Linked DNA regions of Notamacropus eugenii. The protein of the gene in region 1 purifies or fractionates together with the protein of each later gene. This does not show direct contact. Links are inferred from orthologs where the notes say so. Each region holds a gene or a part of one and is shown on either strand. Other genes may lie near its edges.

The links.
Region 2: the proteins of FBXW7 (region 1) and NAP1L1 purify together in Homo sapiens (affinity purification with mass spectrometry, with the first as the bait; 3 studies listed by BioGRID). This does not show direct contact. The link is inferred for Notamacropus eugenii from reciprocal best matches to the Homo sapiens genes FBXW7 and NAP1L1.
Region 3: the proteins of FBXW7 (region 1) and PRR36 purify together in Homo sapiens (affinity purification with mass spectrometry; 3 studies listed by BioGRID and IntAct, counting the BioPlex papers as one, with this or other methods). This does not show direct contact. The link is inferred for Notamacropus eugenii from reciprocal best matches to the Homo sapiens genes FBXW7 and PRR36.
Region 4: the proteins of FBXW7 (region 1) and MED13L purify together in Homo sapiens (affinity purification with mass spectrometry; 4 studies listed by BioGRID, with this or other methods). This does not show direct contact. The link is inferred for Notamacropus eugenii from reciprocal best matches to the Homo sapiens genes FBXW7 and MED13L.

The regions. Positions count from the first base shown.
Region 1 is NC_092877.1:150,480,790-150,488,537, reverse strand, and holds the start of FBXW7 (F-box/WD repeat-containing protein 7), read left to right. Parts: upstream 1-4,746; 5' UTR 4,747-4,847; coding exon 4,848-5,000; intron 5,001-7,748. UniProt on the Homo sapiens protein: Substrate recognition component of a SCF (SKP1-CUL1-F-box protein) E3 ubiquitin-protein ligase complex which mediates the ubiquitination and subsequent proteasomal degradation of target proteins.
Region 2 is NC_092874.1:255,297,582-255,305,238, reverse strand, and holds the start of NAP1L1 (nucleosome assembly protein 1-like 1), read left to right. Parts: upstream 1-4,655; 5' UTR 4,656-4,789; intron 4,790-5,352; coding exon of another isoform or gene 5,353-6,008; intron 6,009-6,142; exon of another isoform or gene 6,143-6,254; intron 6,255-7,657. Other genes in the region: uncharacterized protein, read right to left, coding at 2,062-2,184, 5,353-6,008. UniProt on the Homo sapiens protein: Histone chaperone that plays a role in the nuclear import of H2A-H2B and nucleosome assembly.
Region 3 is NC_092875.1:51,699,289-51,706,988, forward strand, and holds the start of PRR36 (proline-rich protein 36), read right to left. Parts: upstream 3,013-7,700; coding exon 2,996-3,012; intron 2,899-2,995; coding exon 368-2,898; intron 274-367; coding exon 1-273.
Region 4 is NC_092875.1:29,411,141-29,418,410, reverse strand, and holds the start of MED13L (mediator of RNA polymerase II transcription subunit 13-like), read right to left. Parts: upstream 3,016-7,270; 5' UTR 1-3,015. UniProt on the Homo sapiens protein: Component of the Mediator complex, a coactivator involved in the regulated transcription of nearly all RNA polymerase II-dependent genes.

The DNA.
Region 1 (7,748 bases):
TTAAACTTAAATATGAATTACATTATTTATGTTCTTATTCCAGCATTGATATGGATAAATTCATCAGTTATAATGGTTTATTATTTCATTCTTTTTTCTATTTTGTTTCCCATAATCAAAAGAGCCATATTATATTTATTTTTGTCTTAAGCTTGTCACTTTATCTTCCTGTTTATACTGCTTCTACCCTAATTCATATTCCCATCATTCCACTCTTTGGATTATTGCATTTTTTTCCTAATTGGTATCTTGTTTCACTCTCCCATTTACATTGTACACTGCTGCAAGATTAATTTTCCTAAAATATTTATATCACTCCTTAGCTCAAAAGCTTCTTTGACTCCTCTTTGCCAAATAAAGTCTAAAATCCTTAACTTTTCATTCCTGATCTTCTACAGTTTGACCTCTCTTCTACTACTTCCATATATCAACCCACAACTCCAGCTAGTCTAGTATACTCCCTGTTTCTTGCACATGCTATATGTATTCCTGTAAATATAGTGCCATCCCTTCATTATCCTATTGTCAACTTAGATCTTGCCTTTTTCCTCAAAGCCTAGCTCAAATACCATCTGCATTCACAAATTCATATAATAATCTCTCTCCTGAAATTATAAAACTCTCTGTATCACTTATTTGGGACTTAGTTCTCTACTATTTCTTGACACCTTTAATATTTTTGTCCTGTATCATTACTGAGAAGAGAATGTGATCTAGTGAAGAAAGCATTATACTTTAAGACAAGAAGACCTGGATTTGACTTGTGCTTTTGCCACTTACCAGCTGTGTGATTATTTTCAGGTAGCAACTTCACAGAACCTGTTTCATCAACTATAAAATATAAGGGATTATAGCATCCCTACCCACCTCATAGTGCCCTTGTGAAAATGAAATAAGAGAGTAGCTAAGAAAGCACAATTAAAGAATTAATTAACTACTTAACTTTCAACGTGTTTTTGTCTTCCCCCTTCTGACCTCCATTCTAAATTTTCTTGAGCATAGGGGTTATGTATAGGGTGTGACTATAAAGTAATGAAAAGTATTCTATAAGTCATGCATCAAAATCAGTTATTACCTTATATGCTCACCATAGTCTACCTCTTTATAAGCCCCTTGGACCAGTAAGGTATCTTATGAATAAAAGATAATTAATAAGTATTTTCAAATGAATAATTAAAATTTGGCCATGTGTAGAGAGCTTGTTTAGGTGGACTGCATCCCACAGATTTAATCTGAGAATTTGTAGCAAAAAAAATTAAAACTTGGCATGTTAATGTAAAATGTACCAAGGAAGTAGGGAACCTGAGGGGGAAAGGAGGAAGATAAAGGATCTTTGCAACTTCTAATATAAAGTTCATATTTCTTTTGAGACTTACTTAATGTTTAAATGTATCAGCATTTATAAGAACATAAAGAATTCTATTTTTCTTATGGGGCATAATTTTGTATTTCTTTTGTGTTTTCCAAAAGAACTTTTAGTGTTTTATTGAATTTTTCTTTATTTCTCAGTTAATTTTTTTTTCCAGAATTTTTGTAGAGCCAGAGTGATTTTTCACTTTGATTTTTGGAAGTCAGAATTGAATTTTTCAGAACAGTTATTTGCTGCTTGATGGTGCTTTTATTTATCTGTACGTATATACACATACACACACACGCACACACACTTAACATAGAAGAGAAAAACTACTGAAAATATATTGAGTATTTAAAATGAATGAGAGAATTGTTAAATTTAAGGGCATAATAACATATACAGTTTAATTTATGATAAAAGGATCTTACCTTTAGATTAAAAAAAAAGATGACTAGTCTTTCTTTAAACGGTATACATCAGATAAAACAGCGATGAGGATTTCTATCTTGTTCAGTTTGACTGAATATGTCATCTTTTGGCAACACAGCATAACTTTTGTAAAGTTGATTACAGCTTAAATATCTGTTAGGAAAGTACAAACGTGGGAGGATTTTCCTCCTCTTTAGTGGAAATGAAATTATAAATTGTATTTTAAAACATAAGGGAAACATAAGTCTGGTCTGATCTAATAGATCAGTTTAGGCTTGATTATTATTTGCTTTGTTGCAGATGAGCCATTATCAGCCTGTTATTTACGTATTTCTCAACACTTCTCCCCAGTTATTGAAGTATTTTCGTTTTTCTCTAAAGAAGGTAAAATCAAACTAGTATTATTCTCTTTAAATGTCCTATTTTTGTGTTTTCCCCCAAGGCTTAAAAAATAATGGCATAAGTTTAAACATCCAGTAATTTTTATATTTTATTGGCGAATAATTATATAGTTTAATTGTATGGTAATTGAAGCATTGGCATTCATTTACTTTTGTTTCACAGATTTAACTGAAATTTTAGCAGTAGCTTTACTATTTTTTTAAATAATCTTTCACTGATTTTTGTGATAGTCTTTTTCATTTGTATATATGATCCTGTTGGTTTGCCTCTTGCCCCATCTATATGCATCTTGAGAATCAATAGTACATTAAATTAGCTGACATAAAGGGAAAAATCATAAATAATGAATAATAGCCTTCACTGTTCCCATTTCATCCCTATTATAGCATACTCTAGGGTTTGAAAATCTGGATAGTCCACAAGTACTTAATGCTTCTGATTTTCTAATTATGTTGTTGCTTTATGTTTTCATTCTGAAAGTGTTTAAATTGAGTAGCTAAAAATGTTCATAGTTTTGTTAATATTAGTATGCATGAGAAGCTTTATGCAGACATACCTGCAATATACCAGAAACAATTATCTTCTAACCAGTCCTATTAGTAAAATAGGATTTACTTACTGATAAATCTAAAAACTAATTATTATAGCTATTGTACTTCTGGAAAGAGTTTTTGCAACATATATTTTACCTAGTTTTACTAGTAATGTCTTTGCACATTAACAGTATAATAATTTTGGATTCCCTCTCCAAGTCATCTTCCTACATGTTTGTTAAAAGCATATCATCAATGCGACCTTTTCTGATGTCTGACAGGCATCTGAAAATGTGACAGGACAATCTGTAACAGGGTTTTAGAAGTTCCCACCTCCGCCCCAATGTTATGAAAAATTTCAGCAGATAGTACTTTAATTTTGCCACATAATATGCTCTTTCGATGAATAGCCATGTAGAAGCAGCACAGAAAAAGCAGAGTCCTTGGCAATACCAGCTCAATTGCATCTGCAGATCAGGATTTAAAATTCTATGCAGCAGACAGTACCTCCAGCAGGCGAGTAAAAGGTTACTGCATTATTTTGTTTGTTTGTATCCCTTGTCTTTATGTAGAAAAAAAATCTTAAAAAAATTAATTTGGAGTTCATGCCTCTATTTAGGTATTGCTAGAAATTGATTTAACAGAAACATGAATTTGAAAAGGGCAACACAAGGTGAAGGGAGAAGCAGTACTAGCTCGTTTTAGTGTTGAGCCAAGGAGGGGAGAGATCAACAAATAAGGAACTTTTCTTTCAGTGCAGTAGAACATGAGACTCTTTTTCTTTATATCTCTTAAATTAAGCAGCTCTACTTATAATTTAAAACTATATCTAAAGAGAAATTTGCTGATAAAATATGCAGTCGATAGCCAGGAGATGTTCCAATAAGTGAAACTTACTTGAAATAAAATTACTTTATAAATGTGCAGAGTAGTTTGTTACCCTTGGATGCTGGAAACTGTAATGTGTCCTGAGTAGATGGCGGAAAATTTTTTTTTAATTTTTCATTACTGTCGAAGTAAGAATACGTTAAAAGTTTTTTTCTTCTTGGTTGTAGAAGGGTATATGTAATGTTCCTATTCTGTTAAATTATCTAGAACTAATTTTTTCACTTCATTTTGACTATTTAGATAAAGTTATGGCAGAAAATTTAGTTTTACCAAGAGTGATATTTAGTGCCTAGAACTCTTGTTTCTGTTTGATAGTAATTACTATCTGCCCAGCTATAGCTATGCGTGTTTTTTTCCTTTAAATAGTTTTCTCACTTTTGCTTCCTTTTGCAGTTCATTTCACATATTATTTGCATTGATATTTTATAGATTTCTTTCACAGTTCTTCTGTAGTTTAAAATATATGAATATTCAAAATAATTGTTTGCCAATTCTTCCTCCCCCATGCGTAGTTTTATATTGGCCACATTTCTTAGATGTATATGATTTTCTTTTTATTCCTATGTTTTAAGTTGTGATAGGGTTAAAAAGATGGAGTAAATTAATGTTGAGCCTAGTAGTAAAATTAGTTTATCACTCTGAAAACAGTCAAGTATCTGGCAGGTCTCTGGAAGTATAGAGCCATAAAAGGTCAGCAGCTCTGATTGGTAAGTTTAAAGAATCCATCCAATAATTCACTGCCTGTTATTTTTGTAAGCAATGCAGCAAGCAGTTCTTTTCCAGGTATTGAGCTGTTCTCGAACAGTGTGTACATGGCAAGGGAGGGGTGAGGCTCGTTCCTGTTGGTCGTGAAATTGTGTGCATTTACAGAGGGAACAGGTTCGATAGGCTGAGCTGAAGGAGTCATCAAACACATTTAAAGTGATGGAGGACAGAAGCAGTGGTTAGTGAAATTTTAGGACATCTTATCATAAGTTTACTCTTTTATTAAGTACTTAAATTCCACTATAAAACATTTAGGAATTTTTAAGCAACTTACCTTTAAAAGAGGACTGTGGGAGACTGCTTTTCTTGAGTTTTCTTGGTGATGAGATTGTAGCTGGTATCTGGAAGATCACTGTTGTTTTTTCTGTTTAGCAGTGTTTATTTCAGCTAGGAAGCTGCAGAATGAGGCAGTCAGCCAATTTTGAGTATATATGGGGCAGTACCAGTTCTGATTTCTTAAGGAGAAAACTCATCTGATGAGCAAGTCAATGTGTGGCTGTGGCTGCAGCATTATTTCTTCTTTCATGAAGAGGCTGGGCCGTTCGACCTGCTGCTCCGATCTGCTGTCTTGCAGCCATACATCAGACCAGTTACAGAGACTGTCCATCGAATGCCCCAGTCAACCAAAGGTAACTGTAGATTTATTTTAAATCAAAATATATAGTTAAATCAGATACATTATCATTTGGAACTAATGATAAAAGGTAAATTAAGGATGTTCTTAGCAGTTTTCTTGACCTTGCAGTAGCTATCCAATATCATTTTGTCATCATCGGGTTGTGTAGCAATGGGAACGCGCTGCAGTAATTGATTTTGTAATAGGATCAGGTGATTTACTGGCTGCACTGACAACCACTTGCTTGCTCTGAACTGTGCAACACACTAATGGATGTTGTGATTTCAGCCTAGAGTTGATTTTAAACTGCTAGACATTTAAAGCCATAGCACTTCTTTTGAATCAGGATAGGATTTTTGTTTGGAATAAATGTAGTATTAAAATAGATTTACAGGCTTTTTTCTGTGAAATGTTATAAATTATGTATTTTTTCCCCATTTTTTTGTTCATAAAATGTTGGTAGATATTAGATGTTGTTACCTGTCTGATATGATTGAATATAGTTTTTCATTCTTTTATTTTACTGTTACTTAATAAATATTTGTATGAATACACTGTATATTCTGAAAATTGAAAACGCATCTGTTCTCCTGGTTTGATATAGTACAACTCTTCCTAATGTCCTGTAAAGCTTTCCTGAGTGAAAGATACTGCTTGGCTAATACTTAAAACTCATCACAAAACCAAATATAGGTCAAGTTACACATGATAGAGTTCTGTTATTGTTATCATGATTGTCTGATTTAGCATCATAACTTTCTGCTAGGTGTCTTGACAGTATCCTTTCATCCTAATGGCTCAATGTTTTCATAGGCAGAACAACTTTTCCAATGTAGTAACGTGTTAAACTTTTCTTAAAATGTCTCTGTGGAATGTGTATCTCTTGCAGAATCTTAGGACAAAACAAACAAAAGAAATGTGGTTCAGAAGTATGTTATAAAAATGTTATACTTTTGGCAATGAAAAAATTACTTTAGTTTTAAGTATTGCCAGTATAACTCTTTGAAAACTGTCATAAGGTTCTTAACCAGAACTCATTAGATTTATATTATTTGTTTGCAGTTTTTGCCAGATGCCTCTTTTATCACTGATAATTATAAATAACACAGTATAGATGCTGCTCATGATAATTAAGAAAAGTGCAGTTAAGTTAGTTTTAAAATTTTTTATTTTGAAAATGATTACAGGAAATGTAGTGACAGTTATCACATCAGCATGCTGGCTGATGATGTAAGTGGAGGATTTAGATAGTATGAGAACCTTGTTTGTGATCTAGGAGGAATAGGGGAGAAAGAGATATAGACAATATGTGGGAAAATATAGATAATATGTTAAAGATATAGAAAATACAGAAAGAGGCATAGAAAAAGCTTGCGTAGGGCCTGCTCTGTACCTGAAACGTAGGGAGAGAGTCTTGTTGTTCCTCAGTTTTGTACCACGTGGCTGCTGCTTTCAGGAACCAGAATTCAGACTAGTTTTACTAGCACCATAGTTCAGTTGCATTGTGGTTTAAGTAGCCTTTTGTTTTCTGGTCTAGGAATCTTAGCTAGCATTTATAAATTACATTTGGGGTTCTGAACAGCCTTCTTATCCATTAATTTTTGATCTGTGCCCCATTAATAAATAAGGGACTACTTCTACCCATTCTGTGGGCTAATTGTGTAAAACTAAAATCTTTATTAAGTGAAACACTTGGCAATATTTTCCACAGGTGATTAAATTGTGAAGACATATTTTGGTTCATTCATATATACACATTGCATATAGCACTGAGGGAGATACAATGATATATGATAAATTCCTTGCGCTTAAGGAATTTTAATTCTAGTAGTGGAAATAAAATACCTATATTTTAATTCTTAGATGGTCTTCAACCCCTTCATTGATAAAAATCACAATCCATCCATGACTTCTCATCCCTTGCAATTCTGTGAATCTCTGCCAGGGGTCTTTCTCTAGCTCACTTGAATATTGTTTGAGTACCAGTATTTTTTGCTTTCAGTATATGTGTACTTATTTTGGTAGCCATATATTTATTTGAGTGTTAGAAATATACTCACTTTAAACAAAGATCAATACTTATTGTGAAATTTGGAAAACTTTTATTAATTTTTATGTTTATTCCCTCCTGAATGAACAGGTAGTTCCTAATGGACTGCTACATTTGTTCATAATGCAAGAATAATGCAAGCCTTTTTATGCTGTTCCCAGTTCGAATTTCCCACCTTGCTCTCCATTGATGAAGATGAAGATGAGATGAAGCCTCCTAAATATCCTATTTCATATTTTTCTCCCTGATAGGTTCCCTTTCAAACAGCTCATTAAGCATACACACAAGCTTCTGAACTTTTACCTGATCAGAAGCCAGGTTCTGCAAGGTCACAACTCTGATTAGAATTAGTCATCTCTGACTTACATTCTGCTGTTACTCAAAGCTGGGAGGAGTCTTCATCCTATGGAAACAGAATTCCTCCTTTTGTTTCCCATATGAATAATATCAGTTTTTCATTGGTAATATATTGCAGGTTTCTCATGCGTACATGTAAACTCTTTATTGATTTTAATTCTTCACTAATTAGTATCCCTTGCTATATAACTGTAACATTACCAGAAAAATTTTGCCGTTAAATGATGGGACTTTGTTTCAAGAAAGATCTTTAAAAACACTATATCATTTCCCAAGTGAAGTCTAGGCTGTATAGACTATATAGGTATTTATTATACTAGGACTTCTTAAGCTTTTTTCACTAATGACCCCTTC
Region 2 (7,657 bases), on another chromosome or scaffold:
AACAAAATGTTATAATAAACCAATCATGTTTCTATTACATTACATAAATAGGGACAGGGACTTGAAATTATTTCACTGGTACACTTATTATGTAAATATATTATTCAATTACAATAATATATTATTTTTAGAAATATGAACATGTTCGATTACAGCAACTGAGAATCAAAAAAAGTGAGATCATGATGTGTAGAACCGAGAACTAGCAGAAGAGAGCTTTCTTTGTACAGGAGAATGCTAGTCCATGACCTTGGTCAATAAATGTGTTTTTTAGTACTGTATTTATTGAGAAGCCAGACCCTCATGTCCTCCCTAAGGCAATTCAATGCCATTTGTTTTTTTTTTCTTTTTCTCCACAGTTTATTCTTATTCCCCTCAATTCCTGAAATTTACTTAGCACTGTAACCAGTGCCAATTCTTCTTTGATTGCTTTGAGTTTCCTCCTTCTATTTCTATGAGCAGCCTTTTCAGAACGTTAAGACAAGAGTCACGACTTATTCCCCAGTGAGTTTTTAAAAAATTGAGAAATGGAAGATGTTGAAAGTCTATTTATGAAAAAGGTCTATTTGTGTCAAAAGGTGCCTGATGACATTACAGCATTTCCTTTTTCCATATCATGTAATTTTCTTTTAACATAATATTTCTAAGGCTTCATGTATTCCTTTGCATTTGCTTCACATCATCAAATGAAAATGTGTCCCCTATAGGGAAATTTGCTCTTGTTTTGCGGAGGAAAGAAAACAAATTCAAAACAAAGTTTTGAAATGTCCCCTTGGGTGGGATTTATATACTTCGTATATCCAATTGTATGATAATCCATCTGAAATGTTGTAATGAAAATGAGGAAAGTATTTCTATGGAATATGGTGACTTGCTTTAGAAGTTACAGTTCTCGTGGTTTTTCTAAATGGCTGGCCCATGTGAAATTGGGATCATTATCACCCATAACCAAACAAAATGAACACAACAGAGCTGGGAAGGCAGAATTTATAAAGCTAAAAACTCAGAAGAAAAGCCCTTCTAGACTCAGATGTAAATGACTCAGTACTAGTTATTTAGCACTATTTGTCTTGCGTCCCATTGCTGTAGACTTTGGATATTTTATACAACAAATTTAGAAGCTACAGGACAGGTCTTGTGAAAAAGATCTGGTGGGTTTGGTGGACCGCATGTTCAAAATTGAGTATGACAGTATAAAGATAATCCTAATGCTCTCCTACGCTGACCTGAGAGGCCTAGTGTCTGGGAGACGTAAGGTGACGTTTGGGTGAGCAGAGTCCATCTGAAGGGGTGGGTGGGGCTGGGTTCTGAGAGCCACATCTTTCAAAAGGCACTTGGAGAAGCTGAGAAGTGGGGAAGAGGGGGGGACCAAGGTGTTAAACCAGGAGAAGTCTTAGGGGGGCACCTAAGGACAGCTTTTTTAAAGGAAACCTTTATTTAAGCATCTGGAGGGCTACCACATGAAAGAGGGCTTAGTTTTGCTCTGCTTGACCCAAGGGCAGTACTAGGAATAAGGAAGGGAAGTTGTAGAGAGGCAAACTTTGGCATAATGAAAGGAAATACTTCTCAACAATTAGAACTGTCCAAAGCGGCAATGGGTTAGCCTGGTGCTGGGCACTTAGAAAATGCTTGTGCACTAACTGGGTTGATTCAATAAGTAGTGAGTTTCTTCTCACTGGAGATGTTTAAGGCGAAGCTGGAAGGACCACTTGTTTGTTATTCCATGGAATAAATCCCTAGTAGGGTAGAGATTGGATTTGATGTCCTCTGAAGTTCTACCTCCTCCAGAACATGGATAGAATTTTCCAGATTTGTAGGAGCACAGTGAGTATGAAGCCCCTTCACGTGCAGAAAGAACAGGGGGTTACCAAGAAGTCAAGCACCCCATCTGCCATGTGAATGAACTCTGCCTGGGGATTTTTATGCCAACCTCACGTATATTAGTCTAGACCATTTTATTTTTACAAGTTAACAAAATATAATAGGGTAGGGATCTGAGTGGTGATTTCCTTCATGTAGGGAACTTCTGGATATAGGGGAGGGTAGCACCTTTTCTTCCGTTTATGGTCTTAGAGAGTTGCTTAGAACACTAAAGGAAACTGCAACTTGCACAAGGTTAAATGGCCAGTGGGAGCAAGGCAATCTGAACCCTGGTCTTCCTGATTCCACTCTCAGTATATAACACTGCAATAAAACAAAGAGAAGACAATTAAAAGACAAAATGAGAATTATCATTTCCTCCAGAAGGCCATACATGGAGCCTAGGAACTGAAAGAAGGACCCAAAAGAGCTCTCTAGACTTTTTTCATTAGCGCATTAATATGTTCATCAGATTCACTAATTATCACTTTAGAAAGCAAAGAGGGAGCCTGGCCCTGACGTGATGAGGTAGAGGGAGGGAGGTAAGTTAAGATCAACTGGGGCTTTGGGGGAGAAGGATTCGATTAAATTCCATTCAGGAATTATTCCTCAAGTTCTTACTATGTCCCAGGTACTGTACTATGTGCTGGGATTATTGACTGGGGCCAGTGACTAAGGAGAGAAGGGCCAAGTGCAGTATTCCTGTGGGGGCTCTTTGCTTCTGGGCCAGGGAATCGGGGAGTGAGCTCCTGATCTAGCTCTTTTGGTCTTCAGAGATTATAGTTTATTGTTACTACTGTAAAAACAGTGACACAGTACATAAAGTGCTGGAGAGAATTCTGGGAGGAATCAAGATAAAGATTAATTTCACACCAGTCACCATTTTGCCTAGGGCTGGGACAGTTTGGGACAGAACTTAGCATGCAGTGGGGAAAATAATTTGGTTCATTTCTACAATTTTGTTTAAAGCTACAATGAGAACTTGTTTTGCAGGTAGCTTTGACTATAATGTAAGATCCTTGAGGGTCCTGTCAAATCAGTTAGTACAGTAGCAGGGTGGAAAAGGCATTGGACTTGGGAGTGTAATGGTTCCTGATGAGGGGGTAGAATTAGATGATTTCAAAACTCCCTTCCAACTTTATTATTATGTAGCACCACAGAATCAGGTCCTATTTTTGCTACTTAATAGGTACCTTACCTTTGATGCATTATATACATTTCTTAGACCTTAGTTTCCTCATTTGTCAAATATGGGTCATAAAACCTAGACATCAATGTTTATGAACAAGCATTTATTTACTAAGATGTGTACACACATGTACGGGATTAAATCAGATGCACATATCTATATCTATATCTATATCTATATATATAATTTATATTAGGGGTTCTCAAACTTTTTGGTCTCAGAACCCCTTTATACTACACTTAAAAACTACTAAGGAGCCCCAAAAGAGCTTTTATTGATGCAGGTTATACCTATTAATTTCTTTTTTTAAACACAAGAGAAAATATTCTGCTTCATTATGCTTTCCAATTCCATAGTCCTTTCTCTGGATATGGATGGCATTTTGCCTCAAGAGTCCTTTGGGAATGTTTTAAGTCCTTGCATTGCTATGAAGGGCTAAGTCTATCAGACAAATTCCTTACACACTGGGGTTGTTACTGTGTACAATGTATATCTCTTAATTTCTGCTGGGTTAGAAATTAAAATGTTTTAATATTATATGAAAAGTTTTGCCCTCATGGACCCCCTGAAAGGAATCCCAATCCACACTTTTGACAACTAACTGCTGGTTTACATTATTTAGAGATTTAAGATTCACTAAGCACCTTCCTCACAACCCATTGAGGTTTTATGTACAAGGGAGGAAAGGGAGGCTCAGACTGGTGAAATGATCAGAGCTATAACTAGGGCAGGGCAATCGGACCTTTGCTTCAGGGCAATGACATTTAGAAGGTGCTGATTACACTGCAGTCTGCCACCAGCACAGAAAAAACTGAGGTTGACACTTTGTTAGCTAGAACAATTAGTTAAAACACAAACTATCAGATGGTCTGCTTTTCCTAGAGGTGCACACTACAGGATCTGTGGTTCTCTACTTCCCCTTCTTTCTCCAGAAGTAGCCTCAAGGAGCCTGGAATTTCTGCACTTCTCCTTGCTCCGCTGAATTTTTTTTTAAATTGATTTGATGACATCAGTAGGTGTAAAGACTGCTCTGAAAGTGACTAGCTGGTACCAGCGTCAGATTACGAAATCTGGGCTATATTCATTCACTTCATTATGTGAAAACACATAATAAAGGATGCCAATATACCATTAAAACAGCACTAGAAGGGTGGATTGTCTTCACCGTGTACTCAATACCCTATTGACTCCTAATAAAGTAGAATTACTGACACGGCTAATTTTAGCCTTTCAAGAATGCTTTAAAAATAAGCCAGGTTAGGGAGAGTGATAGAGGAAGGAATGAAGGAGGATGGTTAAGGATGACCGAAAGCTTCCAACCTGCGGAATAAAGGGGGAAAAATAGAAAAGCCTGGGGGGGAGGGTATCTGCCCAGCAGCGGGGGGGGGGGGAATCTGCCCAGCAGGAGGGCAGTATCTGCCCAGCAGGGGGGGGGGGGGCAGTTCACTTTAGTGAGAACGGCAGGGCTGGAGGGCTGCATCAGTGAAGACCGTGGAGGTGATTTGCTACATTGGCTGATTAGGGTAGATGACTCCCCTCAGTCCGAGTTTAATGACAGCACCAAGTTCGCCGTGGGGGAGGGGAGGCAGGGGCATTCCGGGAGTTATAAATGAGTCAGTCCAGCGCCACAGGCCGGACTGGTCTGAGCGAGTGCCCCTGCCGGGTGCCAGGCTGCCCCGGGACGCCAAGCTCTCGTGCGACGGCTCCGGGAAGGTGGGCACGCGAGCTCCGGGGGGCCAGGTAGGGCGCTTCTTTCTGCCTCCTCCCACCCCCCGTTACTTCCCCCCTTTTCTCTCGGTCTTCTTCCCACGCTAGGCACCGAGGGAGCGCTTATGCATAATCAATATTAATGGATGGATCGCATCCTCGGGAAGCCCGGAGAGTGTAGACAGCCGCGAGAGAAGGGGAAGAGTCTGCATCCCCTAGAAGGGAAGGGACGAGGCGTCACGCCCGGGCAAATGCCCCCGGGGGGGGCGGGGGGGGGAGGCAGGAATGGAAGACGCGTCGGACCACGCAGGGGCAGGGCAAGGCCGGAACGAGGCTAGGGGCGGGAGAGCCCGAGCCCGGGGTTCTTTCCCGCGTTCTGGCGAGCACGCGCACGCGCGCCGAAGACGTCGGGGGCGTTTGACCCTCCCCACCCCGAGAGCCACGAGGGTTTGTGGAAGTCGGCAAGGGGAGGGGGGGGAGAGCCCGCACGCGTGCCGGAAGCTGGCCCCGTTGCTAGGCGCCCGGCTCCAGGCCCGCCCCCTCCGCGTTCCCCGGGTGACCGCCGAAGGGGAGGGGGAGGGGTGACGGGCACTTACGTGCTGACGCTGATTGTATATGAGCGCGAGCGGCGGGCTCTCGGGTCTTTTTAGCGCCATCTGCTCGGGGCGCCGCCTCCTTCTCCTCCTCCTCCGCCTCCTTCGTCTCCTCCCGCCGCCGCCGCCCTGAGTCACAGCCTGCGCAGCTCCGGCCGCCTGGTTCCTGCAGCAGCCGCGGGTAACGGGAGCGGGCCGGGAGAGGAGGGAGCGCGCGGGGCTTCCAACGGCCGGCCGGCCCGAGGCGGGAGGGGCGTGGGGGATCCGGCGGGGCTTGCCCGCCCTGCCGGGGCCTGGTCTGCGCGCGAACGTGGGAGCGTCCGGGGCCTGGGTCTCGGCCGAGGCCGACCCCCAGCTTGAGGACCGCGGCCCGGGGCGGCGGCGAGGAACGTGAGCAGTGTGGGCCGCAGCCCCTGGAGAGGACCCCGGGCTGGGAGGGAGGGCCGGCGGGGAGCGGGGCGCCGCGCGTGGCTGCGGGTGGGGGCGAAGCCGAACACTTCTGGCGCCCACCACCCCCGCGGGAGAGCACGGCCGGGGGGGCGCTGCACCCTGCCGGCTCCGGGGGGCGGCGGCCAAGTTAGGGCCGGGGGCGAGGCGACGTTTGTCCGCCGCCCGCAACACGTGGTGGCCGCTGCATGGCCGCCGTCCGCCCCGGCCCCCTGCTGATCATCCCCCGGCATGGCCTTCCTCCTCCCATCCCCCTTCCCCTTTTTGATCATCCCGCCCCCCTTCCGATCATCCCCCACCTTTCCCTCCTGACTCCCTCTACCCCTCCCTTTACTTTCTCGTCAAGCAACCCTGAGCTAGTTGAAATCTTTGCCAAGAAAAAAACAGTAAACCTCCTTTTGGACCCTGAAATGTCTCCTCCTTGGGCCTTCTGATTAAACACCGGCTGACCCTCAGTGGTAGGTCCTAGGGAGGGTCTGAAATGATTTGCAAAAACTAGTAACAAATTTGGGGGGTTTGTCTGTCTCCTGTCCCAAGTCAAGGAATGTCCGGGGGAAGGGAATCCGTGGCCACTGGATAGAGGGCTGGACCTGTGTGATCCTGGCCCGGAGGTTTATAACTAATTCATCTCTCTGTCAAGTTGCAGAGAAGGTGCTTGCCTGGGAGTCTGTTACCAAGGTCAGCACCTGCCTGGGTCCCTCTGTGACTTGGGGGCTTGCATAGCCACTATGTCTCAGAGAAAGGACCTAGATCTTCTGGCTTTCCCAAGGCTGCTTCTCATTAATTAAAGAGCACTTTTTGCCTTTCCCGTTTAGGAACTGATTACCCAGACTGATGAAATAAAGTTAAAATTCTTATTCCTTTTCAGATTGTTTGTATCCATGTTGTGGCTAATTTCTCAATATGTTTAATTAGAATGACCAGTTCCCTTTGGGGAGGGCAGGGCAGGGTGAAACTTGACGTGTGATTTTTATTTTTTATTTATTTAGTATAGGGAGCTTCCTTTACTTTCTCTACCAATGTAGATCTATACCTTCTCAATAACTTAAAAGTCATAGAAGAGTTGTCTTGGGGCACTAAAAGGTTAAGTGGTTTATTTTGGCTTAGAAGTTGAACCTAGGTTTTTCCTGGCTCCTCTGCCAGCTCTGCTAGGCCACATTCACTTGATATCCCTGAAAAATTGGTTAGGGAATGCCAGCGCAGACTTTTTTTAACCTGGTCTTTGATAGGACTGATCTTAATACAAAAGAATACATTGCAGTTAGATTTGGTGTCATGAAAATCAAACTGAATTAACATTTCATCCATCAGAGAAGATTCTACTTCTAATAGATAAATGGATACATACACCACAACCTAGACTATACTGTATATGCTATATATGCATATGTGTAGGCAAGAAGCCTATGACTGGATTCTGAGGGAATCTAAATATTAGAAAAGTTTGGGGGCATTTTTTGTCATTACAAATGTGTAACTTCATTGCTGGGCCTACTGATTAAACTTTCTTCAGACCAACAGTTGTTTTTCTTGATTGCTTGATTTTTTTTTTGGCTGCTAGATGGTGTGTGTGGTAGATAGGAGGCTAGCCTTACTGTGAGGAGGAAGACCAGTGTTTTTAATCTTTGAGACACTAGTTATGTGACCCTAGTCACAAGTTAGCTCATGAGTCTTCCCACCTGTGTAAAATGAAGGGATTGGTCTTGATAGGTAGATCAAGATCCCTTCCAGCTATTTCTCTACAATATCTAACTTGTACTAAAAGTAACTCACAAAATACCATTTTTAGAGCATTCTGAACTGAATGAAGTAAACAAATTATTGTTTTCATGACAAGAACACCCACATAATTGTTAAACTT
Region 3 (7,700 bases), on another chromosome or scaffold:
CCCCTGGTCCCTCTGCAGCCAACAGCAGTGTCCGACTCAGCAACTGCTGTACTACACTGGCCTGCAATGCTCCCAGCTGCAGCTCACCCACTCGAGCTGCCTTGGGACCACGTGGAGCTGGAGGCATCTTCTCCACGGTCTGATCATCCTCTTCCTCCTGATCCTGTGCCTCCCTGTTTGGGGGCCCAAATGTTGATTCCGGGGCCTCTGCCTCATAGATTGTGGACAAGCCATCTGGGGGCCCAGCCATAGGGGACCAGGGCAGTGGCTCACCTAGAGGAAGGAAGGACAGGATTGAGACCTCCCCTCTTTAAAAAGCTGCCCTCTTCCTCCAGGCCCTTTCCCTCTCCTCCCTGGCTGGGGTTACCTGGGACCGCATGGGCAAGTCGAGGGGAGGTGGTACAGGGGCTCCGTGTGGGGACCCCCGGCCGGCTCCAGACAGCAGGATGGCAGGCAGCAAGTTCGAGGTCAGGATCAGGTGGGGGCGAAGCTGGGGCTCCTATCTCGGGACCACTGTCATAGGCTCGCAGCTCCTCCGGTGTACTTGTGGCACTGCTGCTGTGGCCAGCAAGGTCCGGGCCACTCAGAGTGCTGGAAGGGCTTCTGGACAGCTCCCCACCCAAGGTTCCCAAGGACAAGACAGGCTCGGGAAGGGACAGCTCCCCAGGAGGCTCAGTCTGTGAGTGGGGTTGGGTCAGCACAGGTGCTCTAGCCAGGGGAGAGGGAGAGCGTGGCACAAGAGGTGTGTCCAGGGGAGAGGGAGGAGCCTGAAGAGGAGGCGTGGCTAGTGGAGAGGGAGGAGGGGGCAAAACTAGAGGAATAGGAGGGGGCTGCAAAGGGCGAGTATCCAAAGATGGTGCCTGAGAAGGCAAGATCAGATGAAAGGGAGGGGCCTGAAGAGGGGGTGTGACCAGGGGTGGGGAAGGCGGGACCAAGTGAAAGGATGGAGTTTGTTGAGAGAGTGTGGCTATGGGAGAAGGAAGGACCTGCAGAGGGGGTGAGGCTGGAGGAAAGGGAGTAGCTTGAGGAGGGGGTGAGGCCAAAGGGAAAAGAGAGGCCTGAAGAGGAGGTGTGGCCAAGGGAGGAGAGGGTGGGAACAAGTGAGAGGGTGGGTCTGAAGGAATGGGAGGGGTCTGTAGAGGGGGTGTGGCTAAAATGGAGAGCCTCTGAGAAAGCCCCACCCTCTCCTGGCGAGGAGGCGTGGCTAAGGGCAAAGGTGGCTCCTGTAAAGGGGATGTGGTTAAGGGAAAGCCCTGTAGAAGAGGAGTGGCCTGAGGGGGGGAGAGTGGGGCCAAGGGAGAGGGTGGAGCCTGAATAAGGGGTGTGGCCAGGAGAGAGTCAGCCCTTTGTTCAGAGGGTGAAAGAGGAGTCAGGTCCTGAAGAGTGGAAGTGGTTGAAGGAATGAGAATAGGCTGGATGGGTGTGGCCACAGGAGAGGGAGGGGTCTGTGGAGGAGGTGTGGCTGGAGATGTGGCCTGGAGGGAGGGCGGGTCTAAGGGAGAAGAAGGTGGGACCTGTTGAGGGTCTGTGGTCAGAAAGGGAGGAGCCAGAGGAAGCGATGTGACTGAAGGAGAAGGATGGATCAGTAGAGGACTGGAAGCTAAAGAAGATGGAATATGCTGAGGGGATGGGGACAGAGAGGGACTGGCTTGTGGAAGGGGTGTGAGCAAGAAAGGGGAAGTGGTTTGTATAGTGGGTGTGGCTAAGGGAGAGGATGGGGCCTGCTGAGGGGATGTGGACAGAGAGGGATTGGCTTGTGGAGAGGGTGTGGGCAAGGAAGGGGGAGTGGCTTGTATAGGAGATGTGGCTAAGGGAGAAGGTGGGGTCTCCTGGGGGGATGTGGACAGAGAGGGATTGGCTTGTGGAAGGGGTGTGGGCAAGGAAGGGGGAGTGGCTTGTATAGGAGGTGTGGCTAAGGGAGAGGGTGGGGTCTCCTGGGGGGATGTGGACAGAGAGGGATTGGCTTGTGGAAGGGGTGTGGGCAAGGAAGGGGGAGTGGCTTGTATAGGAGGTGTGGCTAAGGGAGAGGGTGGGGCCTTCTGAGGGGATGTGGACAGAGAGGGATTGACTTGTGGAGGGGGTGTAGCTTGTGTGGCTAAGGGAGAGGGTGGGGCCTGCTGGGGGGATGTGGACAGAGAGGGATTAATTTGTGGAGGGGGTATAGCTTGTATAGGGGGTGTGGCTAAGGGAGAGGGTGGGGCCTGTTGGGGGGATGTGGACAGAGAGGGATTGGCTAGTGGAGAGGGTGTGGGCAAGGAAGGGGGTATAGCTTGTATAGTGGGTGTGGCTAAGGGAGAGGGTGGGGCCTTCTGAGGGGATGTGGACAGAGAGGGATTGACTTGTGGAGGGGGTGTGGTCAAGGAAGGGGGAGGAGCATGTTTAGGGGGTGTGGCTAAGGGTGGAGCCTGTTCTTTTCGGCTAGGCGGGGGTGTGGAGGGAAGGGAGGGACCCTTGGACCGAATTACTGGACAGGTTGAGGGCAGGGCCTGAAGAGAGGTCTGGGCCAATGAGGCCGCAGAAGTGTTGTCCTGGCGACGGGTGGGTCCAGGGAGGCGGGACTGAACACCAGAAAAACTTTCGCTGGACTTCCTCCTGACCACAGAGGCTGGGCTGGAGACAGGGTCCCCGGGGCTCTTGGAGGTTCTTCTGGGGGCTGTGGCTTTGGGTAGGGGAGAGGGCTGGGCCCTGGATTTGGGGGGAGCCCGCAGAGACCCTGGTTCGGGTCCTGAGGCTCCGGGCAGTCGTGACCCAGGGAGCCCAGCCTTTGAGACTTGGGCTCCCTGAGTTGGGCGAGCAGTATCTGAAAGAGATAGGACAAGAGAAAGGCCTCTGGGAAAGTCATTTTGCAAGACCCTAGGAGACCTTCCCCCTTTGCCTGCACCTAGTGGTTGTTTTTGGCTCCTCCCCAAATTGGAATGGGAGTGCGGGCGGTGTCAGCCCCAGCTCCTTCCCTGGTGCCCTTTCCCCACAAATCCCTTCACTGGGTACTCCTCACTGCTGACAGGCCACCATCCTCTGGCCCTGAGCCCCATGCCATCACTATCCCCCTGACCCTCCTACCTCTCCTGGCCTCTGCTGGGACCGAATTGTTCCGACCTGTGGGGTTGGAAGCTAGTGATGCCTTAGGCTTAGCTGCAGACTCTGCAGGGGTAGAGCGGACTTGCTTGGCTGGAATGGATACTTTGGAGCCCTGAAGCCCTGACCTTAGATGAGACAAGAAAGCCTGGGTCAGATAAGAAAAGCTAGCTTAGGTCCCCCAGAGTCTTTTAGGACCTGTCCCCTTCCCTAGAACAAGAGCTAATGGTTCATACACATTTGCATCTAAGGTTGTAAAATAAATCTGTTCCCTGTAATATACTCGCCCCTGAGAGGAGCCACACCTGGGAAGACAGCATATCTGGGGAGGGAGTTTTGTTAGGGAAGGGTCATAAATCAGGAGGGACCAATTTGGGCAGGGGATCATTGCCTGGGAAGGGGCCATGGGTGGGGAGGGTCCAACTCTGGAGTGGCCCTATCTGGGGACGGGTCGTTAGGGGAGAAGCTCACCAGAGAAGGATAATTGTTACTCCTAGTGTTCAGTCATACCTGAGTAGGTCCCTGTCTGGAAATGGGTCATACCTGCCCGAGGAGGGAGCAGTCTGGAGAGGGGACATTCTTGGGGAAGGGTCATTCCTGGAGGTTCGGCCAGCAGCACCTGGGACTGGTTCCGCTTTCCTCACCAAAGGCTGCCTGGGCACTACCGGGAGACACTCCAGGTCAGTTCAATCCTGACCTCCTCTGTCCTCCCATAACACCTTAAACACACCTTTGAAAGGGGATGGGGGGGGGGGGAAGAGGGAGACAGGGCATGGATGAGGGGAGGCCTTCCTCTAAGGCCAGGAGTCCTGCATTATCTGTCCTGGAGGGCACCTCAGGAAGCTTGAGCCAGCCAATCTGTTTTCCCCAAATTCCGCTCCCTTTATTCTCTGACATTTGGAGAAGAGAAATGAAGGCATAGTAAAGGGAGGGACCATCAAGGAGGAGCAGGGGTGGGGGAATAGGATTCAAGGTCACTGTTAGGTAGTAGGACCAAGAGTCAAGAGACAGGACAGGTTTAAGGTCCTAGAAGCAGCCTCAGGAATCGGAGCTGGCAAGAGACAAGACCTGGGGTCCCGTACCTGTGCTAGGAACGCTGTGGCCTGTCTTGCTGGTTCTGGGGGGCCCAGGTAGGGCTGTGGCTACCTTGAGGACGGGGGCTGCTCTTCCTGCCTGTTCCCCTGGAGATTTCTTTACCACAGCTCGAGGCTCAGCAGTGGTTCGTGGGGGCACTGTTCCTGATCTTTTAGGAGTCCCAAGAGGCCCTGGCACTGAGGAGCTAGGCAGACGGGGAGCCAGGGATCGACTCCCCCCAGCTTTGGCTTTAACTCCAGTATTCATCCTGCAACAAAGACAGAGGATGACACCTGCATCCCAATCTGTCTTGCAGCACCCAGACATACCAGTACCTTCCCCCACCCAGTCTCTTCTGCCTTTTCCAGCACCCAACTGTCCAATCCCTCAGTCCCAGCCCCCATGCTCCCCATACTTCTTTTGTATTCTGTTCCACTGGAGGAGGGAGCCAAATACCTGCCTCCCCCTCCAGCTGGGGCCAGCTCTCCTGTGTACATCCTATAGCAACCAGCCCCTTGGCACCGGGTTGAGGGAATTAGATGGCAGATGGGGACCCCTCCCCCTCCACCCCCCCCATATACAGCTTAGAGAGAGATTAGCACCATCTACCCCTCCCCCCGAAGAGCTAGCATAGTCCTGACGCCACCACCCAGGACCCAGGCATCCTATCCTCTGCCACCCAGCAGACCCAGTCATCCTTCCCCTGATTCCACACACAAACTCGAGATCTCTGCCACCCCCAATATCTGAGGGATAAAACAGAGAGCTTCTCCTCCCCAGTACAGGTGCTATTCCTGTCTCAGTGTTCAGCCTCGACACATCTGATCCCTAAGAAGACGAGGGAAAACTGAGGTTCCAGCTAGGCCTGAGAAAGGGGCGAGGGATCAGAAACCTATGCCTCATTTCGAGCAGATGGAGAGCTTAGCGAAAGGGGAGCCGCTCTGCTCCTGTCTCTCGCGCGAGTGGGGGCTACTGAGTCGGGGTGTGCTCCTGGGGGTGTCTGTCTAGCATCCCCCCACCCCACTCTCACATACACCTCGATTCCAGACACCTGCTGGCGAAAGGAGGGGATGAAGGGGGGCTGCCAGGAAGGAGTTAATGGAGACAAAGAGCCCAACGCTACGGTTGTGGTCCCCGCCTCTCGACCCCTCCCCCTCCACCTGCTCCGCTCGCCCCGCGCCCCCCAAGCCCATCTCTCAGTCACCTTCAGCCTCCAGCAGTTCCAACACCTGAGTCCCCGTGGGAGGGCCTGATCGGGCCGTAGGGCCTGGGCGCCGAACTGAGGGGAAGGGGGAGAAGAAGGAGGAAGCCAAGGAAGGGGAGGGGGCTGGGGGCGAGGAGACAACAGGCGAGCCCCGCCCCACCCCGCCCCCTGCCCCAGCTTTGGCTCGCTAGAGAGGGGCCGACGCAGGAGGGATAGGGACAGTGGCCCCTATTTACGTGGACGAGACCGAGGAAGAGATGGAGAAGGGAGCGGAGAGACACGCCAAGGGAAAGCGAGATGGGGGGAGGAGGGGAGGAGATGAGAAAAATAATTAAGAGATGCAGGCGAAAGGAGGTGACAGAAGGAAAGAGGGACGAATACTGAACGAGAGCGAAGCGGGAAGAAATAAAGTGGGGGAAGATGGAGCTGACAGAGACAGACAGAAACACAGGGAGAAAGCAGAAGGGAGACGGGATGAAAGAGGAGAGAGAGGAACAGTAGGACAGAAGCGGGAGCAAAGACCAAGGGGAGGACAAATCTCTGGGGGAGATTTTTTTAAGGGGGTGTTTCCATGGCAACTGCCTCCCGGAGTCCAGAAGGCGCATATGGGGAGTGGGAGGAAGGAGAATTTCCGCTGCCCCTCAAATGGCCTCCCCCCATTAGATTTCACCCACCTACCCCCATCAACCACATACACATACAACCACCACCACTACCCCCAAGCCCACCCCTACCCCTAGCCCCATTCTAGCCCTTTCCCTCTCTTCAACCTACCTGGCCTCTCCAAGTCCTCTAGGAAACTGACAGGCTAGGCTTTGGACAGGTTGGGGGTGGGACTAGTACCCCATTGGTCTATTTCCTTGTGGGCAGACCAATCATCATGGTGAGTATCCTTCCACATTTGGACTCTCTGATCTGTGCCTCCACCCCGGGCTTGGTAATGAGATGTTTGGTCCTGCCCAGACTCCTCCAGGGACCCAAGAACCAGGGCCTATCTCACCAAAAGACTCCACCTTCTAAAGAGACAAAAGGATGGTCCTACCCCTGAAGGAGGAAGGCACATGGGAGTGGGGGTTGGGGGAGAGACAGGATTCCCTGTGGAAGAGGAGGGGAGAGTGAGAGAGAGACTACTGTGTTGTTGTAGCAGAAGCACTTTGAGTTTGTCGTTGGAGGCTATAGGTTTGAAACAAGGCTTTACAACTTACAACTACGCAAACTGGAAAGGTACTTAAGCTCTCAGCTTCCCTAACTTCAAAATGGGAGGGGAGGCAGACTTTTTCTAAAGTCCCTTCTAATTCTGAATGTGTGTATGCGTGTGTATGTATGTATATGTATTGTTATTTAATAACTATAAGAAAGATAAGGGCCACAAAAGAAATATGAATGTAAGATTTGTGGGTGTATACTATCCAATAAATAAAAGACAGTTAAGTGTGGCATAGATCTGATCAGGGGCCTGGCCCACCTTTCTACAAGAGACACTTATTTTAGCCTTTGTTGGGAATAATATGATGATCATGGCTGGCCTCTGGTTTCTTCTCTTGCTCATCTACAAGAAGAGGATTGAGCAAGAATTATAACTATATATCACACATCAAATATCTGTAAGTCTAGGAGTGCAATGTTCAAAATAAAGGGTGCTGTCCCTAATTGTTCTCAAGAGGAAGGTAATAGCTGAAAATAGCCAGCCTAACTCTCCCAACCCCACTAAACTCTGGTTATGTAAAAGACCATCATGAATATTGTTTTGAATAAACCCATTTATCTAAGCAAAACAGTAAACAAAAGTCAGGGAAGTTATACAGATTCAGATAAACTGAAGAGTGGCCGATGGTAAAGCTGGAAGCAAACACCTCAGCTCAGCCAAAGAAGAAGGGACTGATCTCCCCCTGGAGAGTCCACTCTCAGCAGGTTCTAGGGTGGAAAGTGCAGGTTTTGAGGATGAGAGGCTGACTTCTCCCACATATCTGGCTCCAAGAAAGATTTCCAGACCTCATTTGAAAAGTCCTTGCCTTGTGTCTCCTGATCCGTCTCTCTCCAACTCTTTCTCCATGTCTCAGCCTTCTGCAGAGATCTGAGATCTCTGGGGAAATCAGGAGTCACATCTCCTAATACATCCAAAGCATATGAAGTAGAGCATAGTTCCAGAGCTAGTTTATAGGGCACCAAGTAAAAAAACAATGGGATTTTACAGAAGAAAGTGGTTACTCACATCTGGGATCATGAAGGAAGGCTCCTCCTTGGAATGGAAGATGGATTTTGAAGGATGGGAATAAAATTTCAGCAGGTGAAGTACTGGAAACTTTCCTTCAGAGGTGGGAGACTATAACGCACATTTGAAAGATGG
Region 4 (7,270 bases), on another chromosome or scaffold:
TGATCTCTATAATCCCAGATATCAGCATAGGGCTTAAACATAGTAGGTGTGCTATAAGCATGTGCTGTTTGCTGAGCTAGCTAGCTACAGGCAAATAGATCATGTCAGAAAAAGTCAAAATATTTTTTAGTGTAACCTTAAATAAACATGACTAACAACTCGAAAAGAGATAACTGTTTTATATTAGAAAGTAGACAATATTTTAAAGAAATGATTTATTTTTATAATATTCCAGTTACATCAGAAAGTAGATAATGATTTGGTTACTGTATTTAACAAAATTATCTTGTGAAAAAGGTTGTGAAGTCACTGGGAGGTGAATGCTATAAAGGAGTGGGGAGGTGAAATGGGAGAAGAGAATGCTCATTTAACCTCTCTGGGGCTCAGCTTCCTTAACTAAGGTAGCTGACTTTAGATTTTCCCTAAAGTCCCTTCCAAAGCTAAATTGTATAATCCTATTAAAACAACTTCTACCACCAATATTTAACTTGTTTTATTTCTGTCAAATGAATAAAAATGTTGAGGAATATGCACAAAATATGGGTCAGGAAGAAAAAATAACAGAGGCTAAAGACTTGTGTCTCAGAAGCTTAAAATCTTTATTTCATCAATACTTTATTCTAGAAATGAATCAATTGAATAATACTACCGAAAATACATATAATTGATTATATTTTAATAGATCTGAAAAGATTCACTATGGATGTGGTAAAGTCAGCCTTGAATCAGTTATCTCACTATAGTCAGACCATTAACTTGTCATACAATTTTTAAAAACTCAAATCTGAAGTATCTGAACAAGTAATTGATCATGAAAAATGAGTAATTGACAGGAAAAATGACAGGCACCAATTTTAATAATTTACACATTAGTTTAACTAGTGTAGATCAGTCACCATAACACGAAGAACCAAAAAGCCTAAAAAGCAACTTAATCAACAAAAACTTGATTTCTTTGCCAAGTGAACAGAGATAGGCAGCCAAAGACAATACCAGTTTAGAATACACTTATTTGCAAAATCCTTCCCAAAAATCACAAGCTCATAGAAGTAGAGCTAGAAGGAATGTTGATAGTCATCTAGTCCTATTCCTTCATTTTACAAATGAGAACAGTGAGGCGCAGAGCGATAGGATGGCTTCCCCAAGGTCATAAAAAGGCTATGATTATAAGAAATACTATTTTATAAAGTTTGAGAAAGTAAGTGGAGTAAAATCAGCTTTTAAAAAGTTTGGCAAGGGAATCAACTAATAAGCAAAGTGAGTTAACTCATGGGCATTTTAAAAAATTTTTTAAATTTTTCATTCTTATGAAAATAGGAAGACAACAGAAGAAAAATAGAAAATATCTGCAAAATATTTTATGACATTTTTTCACCTTCAAGAACAATCCCAGGTGGTCTGACAGAGGAGGCAGAAATGGCACCAAACAGAAAAAAAGCTTGGAAAAGCAGCCAGATTGGACCACATATACATAAAATGAAATCTGTGCTGAAGCTGCATAATTAGGAGAGCATAAAAGAGTGAATCCAGAAGGAATAGGTACCAAAGACATGGTGATAATTTCATCTATACAAAAGCTCCATGAGATTCCTCAGGATCTGCATTGAGGGAAGGCTCAGTGGAGTCAGGAGGGAGCAGGCTTTTGCAATCACTGCTTTACCATGGGTTATGTTCTTTGTTTTCTAGCATTTGATGAAAGATATAGTGAAGACGAGATCCTCCTGGGCTTATTTGTCAAATATTAATTTTATTTTGATTTGGTAAAATAAAATGCCACCTTAAAAGAATTCTTCCCACAAAATAACTCCCACCCATACATCAAAATCATTCAAGTTTCCCTGAAAGATGTAACAGAAATAGCCTTATTCAACAATCACTATGACATTAAACATCAAGTAAGGCATAAAACAGGGTGATATACGCTCACCAAAAGTATTCAAGTATCACTGTAATGGAGAAGATTTGTATAAAGTCCAAATTTAAAAGAGATTCCCTGTGAATGGTGAAGTCTCATTTCCTATTTGCTGGTGACATGGTGCTATTTGAATCAAGTCTTCGAAGCACTGCAGATCCTCCTGGAAGAGATTCATAACCACTCAAACAAGTTTGGCCTGACCATGCACGTAGGAAAAACTAAGTCTATGAATAACATCTACTGTCCAAATTTTGACATATGGTTAGATGGCCAACCTACAGAGCTTATCCATCAGTGTGTATGTATATGCATACGTGTGTTATGTATACATATGTATGTGGATATGTACGTATATATGACAGACAGTACAAATGGATAATGAATGAGTTGGCCTCATAATTAAACAAGAGGAGGAAAGGAAACTGGATGTCTTTGAAAAATTGCCAAGTTCCTTCTGTGACCCAAACTTCTCCCAGAAACAAAGATCTATGTTTTAATACTAACATTCTACTAGTGTTCTTACATAGCCAAGGCATGAAGCAGAAAAATCTCCAAAGAAATGAAAATTCATATCACATAAACAGCAAAAATGAGGTATATGGGCAGGAGGTTGAGCCACCTCCAAAGAAAATTTCAAAAAAGAAAAGGTGCAAAAAATATTGGGGAAATGTTTGATAAAAAGAGAAAATGGGCTACTCATGTAGCAACTACCAATGGCAGGTCAAGAGCCCCCGGGGGGGAGGGGGGGGTTAGGGTGAAGGGAGGAAACACACTGCCTAGGTACAGGAACCCCAAAGGCTAAAGAGATAGTTGAGAACAACCTCCCCACCAGCCCCTCATCACTGCAAAAAGCAGCAAATGCTGATTCAGCCCAGCTGGGAAAGGAAAGGATGAAAGCCCAAAGTCCCTGGGGTAACTACTGAGCCCTCCAAGGCTACTTCGCTTAAGGTCCAGGCTGGTGAACATGGAATCACTCCAGGTGAAGGGAGACCAGGGCAACTCTGCAACTTGGACCAGAAAGTCAAAAAGTCAGATGTAGGTGGAAAAAAGGGCTGAAATTCCCAAATTTTTAAAAAGAGAAAAGCTAAAAACAAAACAAAAAAAAACCCAAGAGTACAAATAGATAAATCCAGAGAGAAGATTCTAAAATTAAAAGGAATGTAAGTACGAAGTCCTAAAAAAGTATATAAACATTACAAGAAAAAGGAACCAATGTTTGATTAAATATAGAGAGCATGCATGGATTTCAAGAATTCTTCAACAGAAAAATGAAATCCATTAGAAAAAAAATGTCATTTAATATAGCCAAAAATGTGTTAATGCAGAAATTAGCTCATTTCTCTTTTTTTTAATGAATACACAATGGAGAGTTTTTCCAAAGAAGGAAAAGAGAGATTAATATATTTAGAATACAAAAATTCTTAAATGGGGGAACATCTTGGGGGGAAAAAATAGCAAAAGGTGAAAATGTTAAAAGAACAAACAATCTGTACATTAGTCAAAGCCATTAACCTTAAATATAGATATGCACAGAGACAACTTAAGAATCACAATCTGAAAACATGACAAATCAAAAGACCTGACCACCATCAAATATTAATTAAAAATTTTAAATAAAATCCTTGCAAAAAAGAATAACAATTTATCCAAGAAATTATCCCCTATATATTTTATTTATACCAGGGATATTACGATGGCTCATCATAAGAAAACAATATAATTAATCAAATTTTTAAAAAAAATTTGAAAATCATATTATATCAATAACTACAGATAAAGCCTGCGACAAATTATAGCACTTACTTATAATAAAAAACCCTACGAAGAATAAGTATAAAATATGATTTAAAGTATTTATCTAGAACCAAAAGCTAGCATTATTTACCATATATACAAAAGCTTCTCAATAAATATAAAAGCAAAGCAAGGATGTTCCCTTTACATGGTGTTATTTGATGAAGTTCTAGAAAGTTTCCAACAAAGAAAGAAAGTAACAGCATAAAGATAGCCAAAAAGGACAAAATTACTTTCATTTGCTGATGCCATGACAATCTACTTTAAAAAACATTAGGGAATCAGCAGAGAAATTAATGTAGATAATTAACAGCTTCAATAAGTAGGCTACAAAATAAACCCACAAAAATCAACAATATTTCTATATAGTAATGACAAAATCCACGGCAAGAATAAACCCCTTTCAAAATAACTATGAAAGGTATAAGATATCTTAGAGTTACAGTCAATATTTGTGTAAAATGAATAAATGAGAAAGCATTTATTAAGTATTGTGAAGCACTGTGTGGAGGACTAGGGATACGATTACAAAATCAACTCTATAGAGTTCAAAACTATTTCAAGAAAAAACAAATAACAGATATTTGCTGCTCATGGTTGGGCTTTGCCAATATAATAAGAATGACAATACTACATTAGAAAGTAGTAACTGTCAAAATCAATACTCGTTCAAGTTGATCAACAGAAAAGACTAGCCAAGGAAGAATCAGAGAAGTATATAACCTCAATAAACCTGAAAATAGAATTTACCTAGGTAAGTCTTCCCTGTTTGATATTAAGTACTGGGGAACATGGAAAACAGTTTGGAAGAAATTAGATTTAGACCAGTGTCTTAAGTGAGATAACATATACACAGCCATTAGAACTTTAAAAGCACTACTGTCATCTCATACCAGTGACATCAAAGTCAAATAGAAACAACTACACATAAGGATCCCAGTAGGTGCATACTGGCTTAGAAAACTACATATTAACATTAACTGTTTTACTACATTTTTATTCATTTTGCAAAATATTTCCCAATGACATTTTAATCTGGTTCAGGCCTCCCACATGGACCACATATTTGACACCTCTGTCTTATACCAATAATAAATTCAAAATTGATGACCCAAATGTTAAAGATAATTTTACTAAAAATTTAGATTATAAGTAGATCAGGTACCTTTCACAGCTGTCTAAAGAATAATTTCTTAGCAAATAAAGGATACATGATTCAAAAAAGATAAAACTGATAATTTCAGTTACATGAAATTGAAAAGTGTTTCCATGAACAAAATCAATAGAACTAGAATAAAAATAAAAGAAATGATGGGTTAGGGAGCAAAGAATCTCTGAGAAGTGTTTAAAAGCAAAACATATAAACAACTAAGGGAACATATAAAACCACAAGTCATTCTCCAATAAATATGTGGTTAAAAAACAAAAATACGCAATCTTCAAAAAAATTTTAAAACATCAACAACCATGCCAAAAAAAAAAAAACTGCCCCAAGTTAATATTAAAAAGGAAATGCAAATCAAAAGAACTCAGGGGTTTCAGCAAACTGGCAAAAATGACAAAAGATGGGCATTTATTAAGAGCACTATGAAATAATTCAACCAATCTAGAAACACTATGGCATTATGCAGAGAGAGTGACGAAAATGCTCATTCTCTGACTCAAGAGATTTTACTGCCAGAAATATGCCCCCCCACAAAGAGGTTAAAGACAAAAGGAAAGATCCCCATATGCACCAAAATATTTATAGTGGTCATTTTTGTACTAGCAAAGAACTGAAACCAAAGCAGATACCTGTCATTTGGGAATGACTAAACAAAGGGTGGTACTTTAATACAACATAATATAGTGTTATAAGAAAAAAAGGAAACAGAGACTGATGTACGGTAAGTAGAACAAAGAAAACAATACACATAATGCTTCCAAAAATATAAATGGGAAAACACAACGTAGGGCCCACCTACTCTGGGGTTCCTGCATGGTGATCATAACAATTCTGCCTCTTCATTACCTGGATCCTTCCCCCCACCTTGGGGCTGCTTAATTAGCCCATCAGAACCTAAAAGCCCAGTTTCCACCCTCCCACCCCCACCGCTATGATCAATCAATAATATCCCCCAAACTCCTGCTGGGGGATGGGGCTGATTTGGTCATCAGGCCTTGGATATGCCTAATCCCTCCACAAATAGGGAAAAGTGAGGGCTGCCCAGCCCCCATGTAGTCCTAAGTACATCCCTTTGACCAAGGCATCTCTTCTTACTGAGTTGTTGCCTCTTGCATGTGCCCCCTCTTCCATAGGTCTCAGTGCTTCATGAGTGCCTTCTGAGAATTCCCCCTGACATACTGGTCATACTGTTTTTGGTTCTGGCTGTAGTGGGGGCGGCTGAGGTGGTGACAGCAGGAGCAGCCACAAGAAGGAGGCCAATGGACTAAGAGCGCACAATACTAACGACAACCTCAACGCAAAATTCAGAGAGAGAAAGGTCAGTTTGCAGCGAACATTGAGCCCAGAGAAGGTGCTAAGAGAACACAAGGAAAATCGCAGTCTCTGGGAGGCCCAGCCCCTGTCCCCCACCCATGAAATGATGTACTGCCTTTGCAGGACTCTCAGCACTTCTAAAATGATGGGCTGCCGTCTGAATGGCCCCAGAGCACCTGACTCCCACCTCAGCTCAGGCTCTGCTGAAGCAGCCTCCTGATTGGTCTTCCTGCCTCAAGTCTCACAGATGGGACCTTGTTACTCTCCTTCTCAAACAATCAGAGTCCCTGCCTCCCACTTCCTTTAGGATAAAATAATGAATTGTTTAACCTTAAAAACCCTTCACATCCTGACCCCAGCCTCACTGGACCTCAAGCCCCCTCATATTCCACTTCCCAAGCCTGGGCCATTGCTCTTCCTGGTACTCACTGCCAGAATGTCAGCCTTCTTCACCTCTACGTCAGGGAGGCTCTCTCAGTCTTCCTTTAAGACAGAGCTCAAACACTACTTTCTCTATGAAGTCTTTCCTCATTCCCCCCACTAAACAGCAGCAGTACCCTCCCCTTCCAGACTACCCTGTATTTAACTACTTTGTATTTCTTGACATTATCTGTATCTTTATCCTATAAATACTTATACAACTACTTTGTGTTGGATTTGGAATATAGGCTCTTTTCTAGGCCAGCCCCTAAGTTTCTGTCATCAGCCCAAGGCACATGTCAGACACCTAGCAGGTGCTCCATAAATTCCTGTTGATTGTCAACAAAGAAAAAAGGAAGGTTAGGTGTGGGAATTAAAGGAGAGAAGAATGTCAAGTGACATTGAAAATGCTCAGAGGAGAGCAGACAGGGACAAAGACAAGCAGGGCACTTATTTTGTTCTCAGATTACGTCCAGTATCAACTTAAAAAAACTTCATGTAACAGAAGTTCAGTTTCATACACAATACTCTGTTATTTGTATACAAAAATATTTATGCTTATGAAGCATAAAAAGGAAACTTTCAAAACGAATGTAATAAAACAAAAACCTCACCTAATAATACCCAGCTGTCCCATGTAAAATTTTAAAAAATAAAAAGAA